Ovis aries: one gene and its partners. The protein of the gene in region 2 purifies or fractionates together with the protein of the main gene of each other region. This does not show direct contact. Links are inferred from orthologs where the notes say so. Each region holds a gene or a part of one and is shown on either strand. Other genes may lie near its edges.

Region 1 (3,741 bases), on a different chromosome or scaffold from region 2:
AGCACATAGAAAAGTCGTGTTTACACTGTGCTATAGTGGCTCAGACGGTAAAGCATCTGCCTGCAATGTGGGAGACCCAGGTTCAATCCTTGCATTGGGAAGATCCCCTGGAGAAGGAAATGGCAACCTACTCCAGCATTCTTGCCTGGAGAATCCCATGGACAGAGGAGTCTGGTGGGCCACAGTCCATGGGGTAGTAAAGAGTTGGACAGGTCTGAGGGCGGAGCCTGGTGGGCTGCCGTCTATGGGGTCTCAGAGTCAGATACGACTGAAGCGACTTAGCAGCCGCAGAGCGACTGAAACTGTTTCAGTTGCATAGCCTATTAGGAGTGCCACAGACAGGAATGTCTCCGAGCCCTAACCACGCGGCCTGCGGGCGTGTGGGCACAGGCACCCTGTACTGCGTCCCCCAGTCTCCACAACACACCTGAGGGGTGGGGGCAGCCAGCCTTGACCTCTCTGCAGCGGAGGAGGTGTGAGCTGGCTACACTTATAATTCTGATTATACCAGCTTGTGAGTGTCTTCCCTGGGCTCAGCCCAAGCTCGGGTATGGATTATGTAGAGGGGGAAAAAACGCCACGCTGCTCTCAGGGGACCCAGGGACGGGGGCAGAGAAGGGTGTGCCAGGGAACCTTCGAAAGACCACAGGTGTGCTTGGGCATTACAGTGGAGGACACTCGGAGTCTGAAAAAGTAAACAGCCGTGGAGCCATGGGAAAACCCTCGGAGTCGGCCTGGGAGCCGGCAGATGGAGCGGATGGAGAAACAGGGCAGGAAAGGGCCAGCTCCCTCCTGCCTTCTACCCTAAGAGCAGTTCTTACACCTCGGAGAGGGGATGCGGGCTCTGGAATCTCGCTGGTGGGCTGGGTACCTCGCCGGGCTCAGTTCCTGGAAGGCCGCCCTTTTCCCGGTGCTCGGCGTGGCAGCCGGCCTGCAGCCCAGGGGTCCGGGCCCACGCTCGGGGCTAACACTCGGGGTCGTCTCTCTGGCCACTTCTTTTCCTTCCGTCAGGAGCGAAATAGAGGCCGTTTGACCCCTCTCCTTGTCCGCGCCTGACTCGCTGAAAGCTCCCGCGACACGAGCCGATGAGGCTGCTGGGACAGGCCAGGAACCGCGGGTGGAGCGGCCGCAGGACCCGGGCGGGTGGGGACCCTGCGTGGCCAAGGTCCGCGCGGCAGGCAGGGTCCAGATCTCCTCGGGGGCGGGGCCTGGCGGCTCGGCGAGGGCGGGACCCAGCTGCCCGCGGGGCGGGGCCTGCCGGCTCGGCGGGAGGCGGGTCAGGCTCTCCGTGGGGGCGGGGTCTTGCGGCTCGGCGAGGGCGGGGGCACGCTGTCCGTGGGGGCGGGGTCTTGCGGCTCGGCGAGGGCGGGGGCACGCCGTCTGCGGGGGGCGGGGCCAGCCTCTCGGCGGGGGCGGGAGCACGCTGTCCGCGGGGGGCGGGGCCAGCCTCTCGGCGGGGGCGGGGGCACGCTGTCCGCGGGGGGCGGGGCCAGCCTCTCGGCGGGGGCGGGAGCACGCTGTCCGCGGGGGGCGGGGCCAGCCTCTCGGCGCGGGGCGGGCCCGGGATCTCCGCGGAGGGCGGGGCGCGCCGGGAAAAGTTCCGGGAAGGTGGGCCGCCCCACTGCTCCCCCGGCCCAGACCCGGCACGGAAGTTGCCGGCGGTCCGCGCCTCCGGGACGGGTCCGCAGCCATGTCGTCCGGGGATGCGGAGTCCGGGGGGCGGGAGGGCGCCCCGAGCGCGGCTGCCGCGCTTTGCGGCCTGTACCACGAGGCGGGGCAGCGGCTGAAGCGCCTGCAAGACCAGCTGGCGGCCCGGGACGCCCTCATCGCGCGCCTCCGCGCCCGGCTCGCCGCGCTCGAGGGGGACACGGCGCCGTCGCTCGTGGACGCGCTGCTGGAGCAGGTGGCGCGCTTCCGGGAGCAGCTGCGGCAGCGGGACGGCGGCGCCGCGGAGGCCGCGCTGCGCCAGGTGCGGGGCGGCGGGGCCGGGCTTCCCGGGGGCTTCCCGGGGGCTCCCGGGGGCGCGTGTGCCCGTCGGGCGTGAGGCGTGCGTGGTCTGCCGCGGCGGAGCCGCTGCGTGTGGGGTTCTGGGCGGTGCGCGCCGCGAGGGGTGTAAGGGCTGAGCGTCGAGCCGGGCTCTGCCGTGCGTGTGCGCCTTGGCTCAGGGGCTGTGCGTGCGTGTGCTGGCTTTTGAGGCGTCTGAGCCTTGCTGCGTCTGAAGGAGTGTGTCTCGCTCCCTCAGGTTCTGAGAGGTGTGTGTGCCAGTTAGTCTGGGGGCCGTGTGACCCTGTCGGTTGGGAGGGGTTTGTCCTCTCTGACGATATGGGATGGATGTCGAGGTGGGTCTGAGGGCTGTGTGCGTGTTGGTGTGTGTGCGGCGTTACCCTGTGGGGCCTGAGGGGCGTGTCTGTCCCAGCGTCGGGTCTGAGGGGTGGTTGCGACCATGTTGGGTGCTTCGTGCTGTGTGTGTGTGTGTGTGTGTGCGTGTCATTTCTCAGGTGAGTGTGCGTTGGCTTCTGGGGGGTGTGTGTGGCTTTGCTGAGTCTGGCGGTTGTGTGTCCCGAAGGTTCTGAGGAGTGTGTGTGCCCATGTTGTGGTGTGCTTGCGCGGCGCGTGGGCTCTATGGGATCTGCGCTCCTCTTAAGGGTTGTGTGGTTCTGAGGGTTTGTACGTTCGGTTGTGCTGAGCCGTCTGCTCCCTGGTTGGCTTCTGAGGGATGTGTGTGTCTGTGTGGTTCTGAGGCTTGCCCCTGTTGGGATCCGCCCATTTTGGTCCTGAAGGGTACGTGTGTCTGTGCTGGTTTTGAGGAGTGTGTGTTTCTGTGTTGGGTTCTGGAGGATTCTGCTCGGAGAGGTTGTGTGCCTCTTAGATCTGAGGGTTGTTGCGTCGCTGCTGGCTCTCGGGTGTGTGTCAGGCTCGTTATCTGCTCCCATGTTGGGGCTGAGGACTGTGTCTCCCCGGGCTCCGTTCTGAGAGGTGTTGGTGCTCCTATCGATTCTAGAGGCTGTGTGTCTGTAGCAGCTCTGAGTGGTGTGTGTGTGGGTTTGGGGTGCTGGGTGTGTTTACCCCTACTGGGTCTGAGATGTGTGTGTGCGCCTGTGCAGAGTCTGGGGGTGTGTCTGCGCCCGTGGTGGGTTCTGAAGGGTGATGGTCCCTGGCTGTGGTGAGGGCTGTGTGCCTGTGTTGTGTCTGAGGGTTACGTGCGCCCATATGAATTCTAAGGAGTGTGTGGTTGCATTGTTTTTAATTAGCTTGTTTACAGTTTATTTTTAATCGGAGGATAATTGCTTCTGCCATAGGTCACGCGAGTCAGCCGTGGGGACACTTATGTCCCCTGCCTCCTGCCCCACCCCATCCCCCTCTCTAGGTTGTTACAGAGCGTTGAATGGGAGCTGTGTCATACAGCAGCTTCCCATCGTGAAACAGTGGCTGTCTGTCTACACACAGTGATGTCTGTGCTGCTCTGAATCCATCCCGCTCTCCTTCCCGCTTTGTGTTGGTTGTGAGGTGTATTTGTACATGCTGGTGTCTGAGCGGTGTGCCTGGAGTCTGCGGCTTGTGAGTCTGTCCTGAAGGGTTTGTTCCTATGTTGGGTTTTGATGGTTGTGTGTGTCCGTGTTGTGTCTGATGGGTGTGTGCTCATGGTGGGTCTGAGGGTTGTGTGTCCGTGTTGTGTCTGTCTCGGGAGTCTGCCTGTCTGTGTTGGGGGTGAGGGCTGTGCGTGCTGGCTCTGAAGGGCGT
Region 2 (3,741 bases):
GTCACAGGACGGTTTATTAGTGGAAATTCTTTGGGAAACTTGGACCCCAGCAGGAAGCCATGGGAGGCAGGCGTGGGGAGGAGGGGCGGGTAAGGGAGTTCAAACGGAACAGAGGTGTCAGGTTGCAGAGACAAGCTCCAGAGATTTACCCCCGGGTGACTACCCCTCTCCACCCACTGGCCCCGAGGGTCGGCAGTGTGGAAGATCTTAAACCGACGAGCCTGCGGGTACTGCGCGAGCGGAAGCGGAGCGGAGCCTCTGATCACGCTGACGTGCAGCAGGCTCCGCGAAGGCCACGGTCCGAGTAGTGCCAGGTGGAGAGGTCCAGGCCACTTCTCTTTTTCCTCGTTGCATCCAGACTGGGGTGGACAGGAAATTAAAAAGTGCTTGTGCGGCAATAACCATCAAGAAGCACTCTTATTGACTAGGAAACCGTGAAGAGTTGAGCCACCTGGCCTTGGCGGGCGAAGCAGGCCGGAGCCTTTCCTGCGCGGGGCGGGCGGTCGAAGCCCGGCAGCCCTAGCTTGGCTCCAGACCGGCTCGGGGTGACATCACCAAACTCCTCCGATAGGCGGGAGGTGGCCCCCGAAATCCCCTAAAAACATAGTGAGTAATCGGAGGCCCCGCCCTCCAGGCGGGGCCCAGACTCGGGAGCGAGCCGAGCTGCCCCGCCAGCCCCGGGAGCGGCCTCCGGGAGAGCCGCCTGTCGGTGCCCCGCGCGGCGCGCACTAGCTCCGGGTCGCCGGCACAAGCAGCCTATCCACCCTGCACGCGGCCTGCCCATCCTCCGCGCAGCGCGCGTTCGCCCCTGAACCTCTCCCGGTGGCGGCGGCACCCGCAGCAGCGACGAGGGCGACGGAGACGCATCGCGCAGGCGCGGTCGGATTCCCGGCAGTGACGCGACGGCGGGCGCGCGCGGCGCATTTCCGCCTCTGGCGAATGGCTCGACAGTAGCGCGCGCCGCGGGCCCAGCTGCGACCCCGGCCCCGCCCCCGGGACCCCGGCCATGGACGGTGAGGGCGCCCCCTGACCCCGCGGGGTGGCGGCGCTGGGGCCGCGGGGATCGCGGCGGGAGGCCCCTCACCGCCTTCCGACCCTTCGTTCGCTGTTGGGCGCTGCGCAGGGAGCGGCCGGCCGGATGGTGGCGCGGGGCGGGGCGGGCATCGAGGGTTCTGACTCAGTTTCCCCCTGGGTGTGGGGTGTTGGGGGAAGCGTTAACTCAGTATCCCCCCGGGACCCGGGAGTGGGGCTTGGGCAGTTCCACCTTAGTTTCCTTGTTAGGGGAGAATGTATCTGACTCAGTTTCCTCTCGGGATGGGGGAGTGCCCTCCCTTAGTGTAACTTAAAACAGAAAAGGCCGTGACTCAGTTTCCCCTGGTGGAGGGAGGCGGCCATCTCTGGTTTCCCTCAGGAAAACGGTGCTTCTGGCTTCCTTACGCACACCCCAAGTTTCCCTGAAGGTTCCAGGTAGCAGGTCTGACTGAGTGTCCCCGAGAAGGAGCCTGGCTCCCTCTCCTCACCTCCGGGAAGCAGGCCTTCCCTGATGAGGACAGGATGTGGGCTCCTGCTGACCCTTGTCTCCCTCTCCTTTCAGACTTCTTCCCCATCATCTTCTCCGAAGGTAAGTGGCCCATCCTTTCTCAGTGGGTCGGGAGGAGCTCCCCAGGGTCAGGGGCGATGGGGTCAGTGGCTGATGGGCCTGGCCCGCGTGTCCCCTGCAGAGCCTGTGCAGGCCTCTGGCCCCTATGTGGAGATCATTGAGCAGCCCAAGCAGCGGGGCATGCGCTTCCGCTACAAGTGCGAGGGCCGCTCAGCCGGCAGCATCCCTGGCGAGAGGAGCACAGACACCACCAAGACCCACCCCACTATCAAGGTCAGCAGAGCCCCAGGGCGGGGGACCCAGAGTCAGTAGGGCTGGGACTTGCTTTCAGCCCCCACCCCCCCATCCCGAAATCTGTGTCTGGGAGTTGGGTCTGGAATTCCAGCCCTCTAGGGTGCTCTCTGTACTTTGGACAGATCAATGGCTACACGGGGCCAGGGACAGTCCGCATCTCCCTGGTCACCAAGGACCCTCCTCACCGGCCTCACCCTCACGAGCTAGTGGGGAAAGACTGCCGGGATGGCTTCTATGAGGCTGAGCTCTGCCCGGACCGCTGCATCCACAGGTGAGCTCCTTAGGGGTGGCAGGGGGTGGAAGAAGGTGGTGATGAGATGGGAATCGGAAAAGCAGGCAAGTTATATTGCTGTTACAATGTTAATCGTTTCTGGACAGAGGGCAGAATTCCTCACTGCTTGCTCCCTCTCCAGCTTTGCAAGCTGATTCTTTTGTTTTGAAATTGTCTGTGTGTCTCCTCTCTCCAGTGGATAGGAGGAGCACCCTGTGAGTTCTATGGCAAAGGTGTGGGTCCCTAATCACCCCTGAACCCCTAACCCCTGGGGCTGGAGTGTCACATCTCTTGTAGTCAGAATGAAAGCCATTGAACCAACGGTCTCCCCTGAAGCTTATGTACTGGTTGACAGAGGCAGACCATAAATAAATGTACAAATAACTGAACAAGATACTGTTAGAAATCACCATTTCAGTGATGAAAATGAAGCAGTAATAGGTTGGAAGAATAGCCTGAGGTGGCAGGGAGTGAAGGAGCTGGTCCCACTCCTTTGGGCTGGGACGTCAGAAAGGCTTCTCGAAAGTAAGACCTAAATGTGAGAAAGTAGAGAAGCAGGGAAGGAACATGCCCAGCAGAATGAACAGGTGCAAAAGGCTTTGAAATACGAATGAGTGTCATGTCTTTGGAGAGGGTAAAAGAAAGCCCTGGGGCAGAGGGTAGGGAGCTGGCAGGGACTGTGGCTGGGGCCAGGCGGCAGGGCACAGGGCCTTGTCAGCCAAAGTAAGGAGTCGCTTTCAGTGTGGCACAGTTGGGTGGGGTGGCATTTAAGGGGGTTAAGAATAGAATGATTACCTGGTGAGTGGGGGAGGGGATAAGGGGCAGAGTGGGTAAGGCAGGAGGGCCCAGGCTCTGCTGGAGACAGTGGAGCTTATGCCTCGGGGGGCCTCAGCTTTCAGAACCTGGGGATCCAGTGTGTAAAGAAGCGGGACTTGGAGCAGGCCATCAGCCAGCGCATCCAGACCAACAACAACCCCTTCCAAGGTGAGGGCGGCCACGGTGGAGGCTTGGGCCTGCCTGGAGCACCTCCAGCTGCTGTACCCTTCTGAGGCCACCTTCCCGTCACGTGTCCCTCACCGGCCAAGATGCGGTGCCCATTCATTACATACACCTGTTCAGTACATTCTACCATTGGAGAAACAGACTGAGAGCAGGGGTGTAGGGGACAGGACATTCAGGGTCACAGGTGGAGTCAGTGATGGGTCTAGAACATTCCCACCACCCTCTTCTAGGACTCCTGCTATTTCACACACCTTCCAACAGCCCTCCCAGCCCAGAGCTACCCGCACACCCTGCTCCGCCCCAGCCCCACCCCCAGCCCAGGCTCTCCTGACCATCGGTTTTTCTGACAGTTCCCATAGAAGAGCAGCGTGGGGACTACGACCTGAATGCCGTGCGGCTCTGCTTCCAGGTGACAGTGCGGGACCCGGCAGGCAGGCCCCTCCGCCTGGCGCCTGTCCTCTCTCATCCCATCTTTGACAACCGTGAGTGGTCAGGGAGCCGCATGAAGGGGAGGGGGGTGGGCCTGTGAGGAGGAAAGGAGAGGTGGGGAGGGGTGACCTGCAAGAGTCGCTCT
Region 3 (3,651 bases), on a different chromosome or scaffold from region 2:
AGACAAAGTTAAGCAAAGTATAAGTGGAATCCTCTTTCATGTGGAATTAAACTTTATTTTCTATACATTTGTAGTCATTTACATGTGTGTATACACATCTATCTATAGATAGGTAATTTTGGTAACACTTTATGCATACTTTCACTGAAATAAACCTATTACTTAAAAATCCTCATAAAGTGTGGAGAGTATGACAAAAACACACAGTAACAAGAGAAAATAGTGCTGACTTCCACTGCTTATTTGCTTAACTGTTTTACAACTGCATTCTCAAAATATAAGCAAGAGAGGTGAATAACTTAAGTTTTTGCTGTCTGGGGACCTGATAAGAGATGAAGGAGAGATGCTAAGTTCACTGAACACCAAATGGGAATAATGAATCTTTCTACATAACATGCCCCACCTGTCAATAACTAGTTTGAGTTTTTCACTGCTTTGTTTATATTAATGCCCTCTCACCCTCCTGGGTGTCTCCAGAGTTAAACAAGCAGGTATTTACTGCCAACTTAGTCCTTTAAAAATATAGACCAAACTTTAAGGTTCTTACAATTTTCAATCATATTTATTTATTGCAGAAAAATAATGTACAAAGATATTTACAAAACAATCATAAAAATATGAATGCATTTAGACACCGGATCTATTTGCATTTTACCGTGGGTCATCAATAAATAAATAGAATGTTGTTTTTTGTTATTTTAAGTTTTTTTTTTTTCCCTCAGAGGAAGAATGAAAAAAGGAATTAACTGACTGTGATTTTGTGAGTCAGTTTGATTCCAGTATTTTTATTTCTAAAGGTGTTCTTAAAATTCCTCTGATCGTTACCATTTTAAAATGGAGAAAGTCCATAATGATGCCTTTCCTTTCAGTGGCTGATTGGCACGACCTCTTGAGAATGCATGCATGAAAAAATAAAAACATTCTTCGTCAAAAAAAAAAAAAACCAAAAAATAAAAAAAAAAAAGAGGAGGAACACAAACAACTGTTCAAACTTCTATCAGAATGTAGAGGTGTGAGGATGGTGCCGCTGCCCGTCTGGAAATCACTGTCCACGGGCCTGTCTCGCTTTCTCTTTTAAAAGTGCGCCCCACGCCCTGTTTCTTTGAATTTGGGTTCTGCTCTTCTAATTTCCAAGAAAATGTTTGGCAAATATATTTATTTTTAGTTATCCAGCTCCAGAGTCTCTAGACTGTCCATTTTCTCCTTCTCTGGAAACAATGACATCTGCAAAAACCCAGAGGGGGGGAAAGTTGGTTATTGTTTAGGTCTCTGTGGCTGTTTTGTAAAACTAGTGAGCACGGTTCTTATCACCACCACGGAGAAATTGCGCTGAACAACCTGGAAGGATTTCAGCCCAAGGGCAAGAGGAAGTGGGTGGGCGGAAAGACGGAGGAGGTGGAATTTGGAAACATTTGTTTTAAGGAGAACGAAAACTTAAAAGCCAAAAGAAAGAGAGGCGCTGGCAAGGCTGTCCTTACCCGTGACCCTCGAATCTTTTTCAGTCTTCCCTCCTGTCACGCACACTCACGCACACGCACACCCCTCACCAGGGCGCATCCTCCTCTCCCTAGCGGGGACTGAGCTCCCTTCCAGGAACGCGCGGGGGGATGAGGTGGCGGTGCCAGGTTGGGTGTGAAAGGGGAGTGGGAGACGGGGAGGAAGGCCAGGTGGACCGGGAGCCGCACCCCAGCCTTCAATCTGTCTGCCACCTGAGCGGCGACGGGGCGCAGAGGCGCCGGGTCCTTACCTAGGTCTCCGGCCCTGCCGAGGGGGTGGGGAGCTCCGCCTGCTAGTGGGACGCGGACATGGACCAGGCCCCCTCCATCCTCCAGACCGAGAAGGCGTAGCTGAGCCGCTCGTGGGCCACATAGCTGCAGCTTGCCATCTTGGAGTCCAGCTCGTCGCTCTGTAGGACCTGGTAGAGGAAGTCGATGTACCTGGCCGCCAACTTGAGGGTCTGGATCTTGCTCAGCTTGTCAGAGGGCAGCGTGGGGATGATCTTCCGCAGCGCGGCGAACGCCTCGTTCAGTGACTGCGTGCGCTGGCGCTCCCGCACGTTGGCCATGACCCGCTGCGTCTGCAGCTCCTCGTAGGACTGCGGACTCCCGCCGCCGCTGCTGCTGCCGCCGCCGCCCGCGCCGCCGCCGCCGCAGCCCGCAGACTTCTTGCCACGCTTGCCTTGGGCCGGGCTGCCAGGCTCCTCGCCGCCTCCGACGCCCCCGCCCGCGGCCCCGCCGGGCCCCGCGCCGCCCCCCGCGCTGCGCCGGCTGCTGCGCCGCTTGCGCCCCCCGCGCTTGCCGCTCGGGGGCTGCTGCCGGTCCGGCTCCTCCTCGCTGTTGCTCAGGCTGTCGTCGGCCGGCGAGACTGGCGAGCTGGACACGTCCTGCATCATCTCTTGGGCGGCGACGTGCGGCCTCGCGGGCCCGGGGCAGAAGGGCGGCCCGGGGAAGAGGAGGAGAGCGGGGCGCCTCAGCCCGCCAGCTTCCCCCGCGCGCGGCGCCGGCCCGGGCGGTGCGGCCCGCGGAGGAGGGAGCGGGAGGAGGGACAGGGAGGATCTCCGCGGGGAGGGCGCGCGGGGGAGGCGGGGAGGAAGGCGGGAGGGGGAGGGGACGGTGTGGATGGCCCCGAGGTCCAAAAAGAAGGCGCCCAACGGCCGCACGCACACCCCGCTCGGCCTCCTGGAAACGATGCCGGTGTCGGCGAGCCCGCGAGGTGTCTGGGAGCTGGGCGAAAGCTGCAGGCTTGGAGGCTCTTATACCTCCCGTGCAAGCGGAAAGTTTGGGGGCAGCAGTGTCATTGGCCTGACGTGGGGAGGAGGGACTTTTCGAAGTTTTATAGGAAAGTTTCCGCTTTCCAGCCCCCCTTTCTCCGTCCCCACCCCCCTTCCTCGGGGTCTAACAATTCGTCCTCCCAAACCATTCAAAAACGACCTGGCCCAGGCGGCCGGCCCCTCTGCCCGCCTCCTTGCTGCCCTCCCCCTTTCTTCCCCGCCGCCCTCCGCCCGCGGGCGCGGGGCGATTTCCTTCCGCGCCGAAGCGCGCGGGCCGCACCCCCGCACCCGGGCGCAGCCCGGGGAAGCGACCGGAGGGGACGGTCCCCGCCGCCTTGTCGGTCCCTCCTGGAGCGGCTGTGACAGCAGCGGCGACAACAGTTTCTACACAGTGGGTGGAAGTCTCAGCTCGCCCCAGTACGCTTTAGGTCCGTGGCGCGGTTTGGGATTGCTGGGGCGGGGGTTCTGGCAAGAATACCTGCGACAGCTGAGCCCACCCGATGGTCAGGTAAACCAGGCCCTGGAGTCCCAAGGGCCAAAACACCGTGGCTGGTCCTGAGGTCGTGGGCGTTTCTGAAGACGTGGCCGCGCCAGGGACTGTAGATCTGCTCCTCGGCCTGTTCTCTCATCCTTCCTCGAGAAGCAGCTGGGCCTTTCTTTTCCCTCCACAGTGACCCAATCTGACGTTTCCCAACACCCAAAGGACTACACCTCCGAAGGTGCTAGAAAAATGCAGAAGTTCATTCCCCCGAAGAAGGCAGTCCTGTTCTTGGAGAAGGCAGCAGGGCAGGAGGTGGCAGCGCAGTGTCTTCGCCGCGGCCCTGATTGCCTGTGCTGCTAGCCCAAGGTGGAGTGCCTGTGGCCACTTCAGCCTCATCCCC

Evidence for each region.
Region 1: the proteins of RELA (region 2) and TNIP2 purify together in Homo sapiens (affinity purification with mass spectrometry; 4 studies listed by BioGRID and IntAct, with this or other methods). This does not show direct contact. The link is inferred for Ovis aries from reciprocal best matches to the Homo sapiens genes RELA and TNIP2.
Region 3: the proteins of RELA (region 2) and TWIST1 purify together in Homo sapiens (affinity purification with western blotting; 3 studies listed by BioGRID and IntAct, with this or other methods). This does not show direct contact. The link is inferred for Ovis aries from reciprocal best matches to the Homo sapiens genes RELA and TWIST1.

What each region holds. Positions count from the first base shown.
Region 1 is NC_056059.1:116,696,260-116,700,000, forward strand, and holds the start of TNIP2 (TNFAIP3-interacting protein 2), read left to right. Parts: upstream 1-1,580; 5' UTR 1,581-1,690; coding exon 1,691-1,969; intron 1,970-3,741. UniProt on the Homo sapiens protein: Inhibits NF-kappa-B activation by blocking the interaction of RIPK1 with its downstream effector NEMO/IKBKG.
Region 2 is NC_056074.1:40,279,488-40,283,228, reverse strand, and holds the start of RELA (transcription factor p65), read left to right. Parts: upstream 1-922; 5' UTR 923-1,006; coding exon 1,007-1,013; intron 1,014-1,594; coding exon 1,595-1,621; intron 1,622-1,721; coding exon 1,722-1,873; intron 1,874-2,016; coding exon 2,017-2,165; intron 2,166-3,057; coding exon 3,058-3,149; intron 3,150-3,517; coding exon 3,518-3,649; intron 3,650-3,741. UniProt on the Homo sapiens protein: NF-kappa-B is a pleiotropic transcription factor present in almost all cell types and is the endpoint of a series of signal transduction events that are initiated by a vast array of stimuli related to many biological processes such as inflammation, immunity, differentiation, cell growth, tumorigenesis and apoptosis.
Region 3 is NC_056057.1:28,776,145-28,779,795, forward strand, and holds TWIST1 (twist-related protein 1), read right to left. Parts: upstream 2,726-3,651; 5' UTR 2,393-2,725; coding exon 1,790-2,392; 3' UTR 1,748-1,789; intron 1,225-1,747; 3' UTR 541-1,224; downstream 1-540. UniProt on the Homo sapiens protein: Acts as a transcriptional regulator. Inhibits myogenesis by sequestrating E proteins, inhibiting trans-activation by MEF2, and inhibiting DNA-binding by MYOD1 through physical interaction. This interaction probably involves the basic domains of both proteins.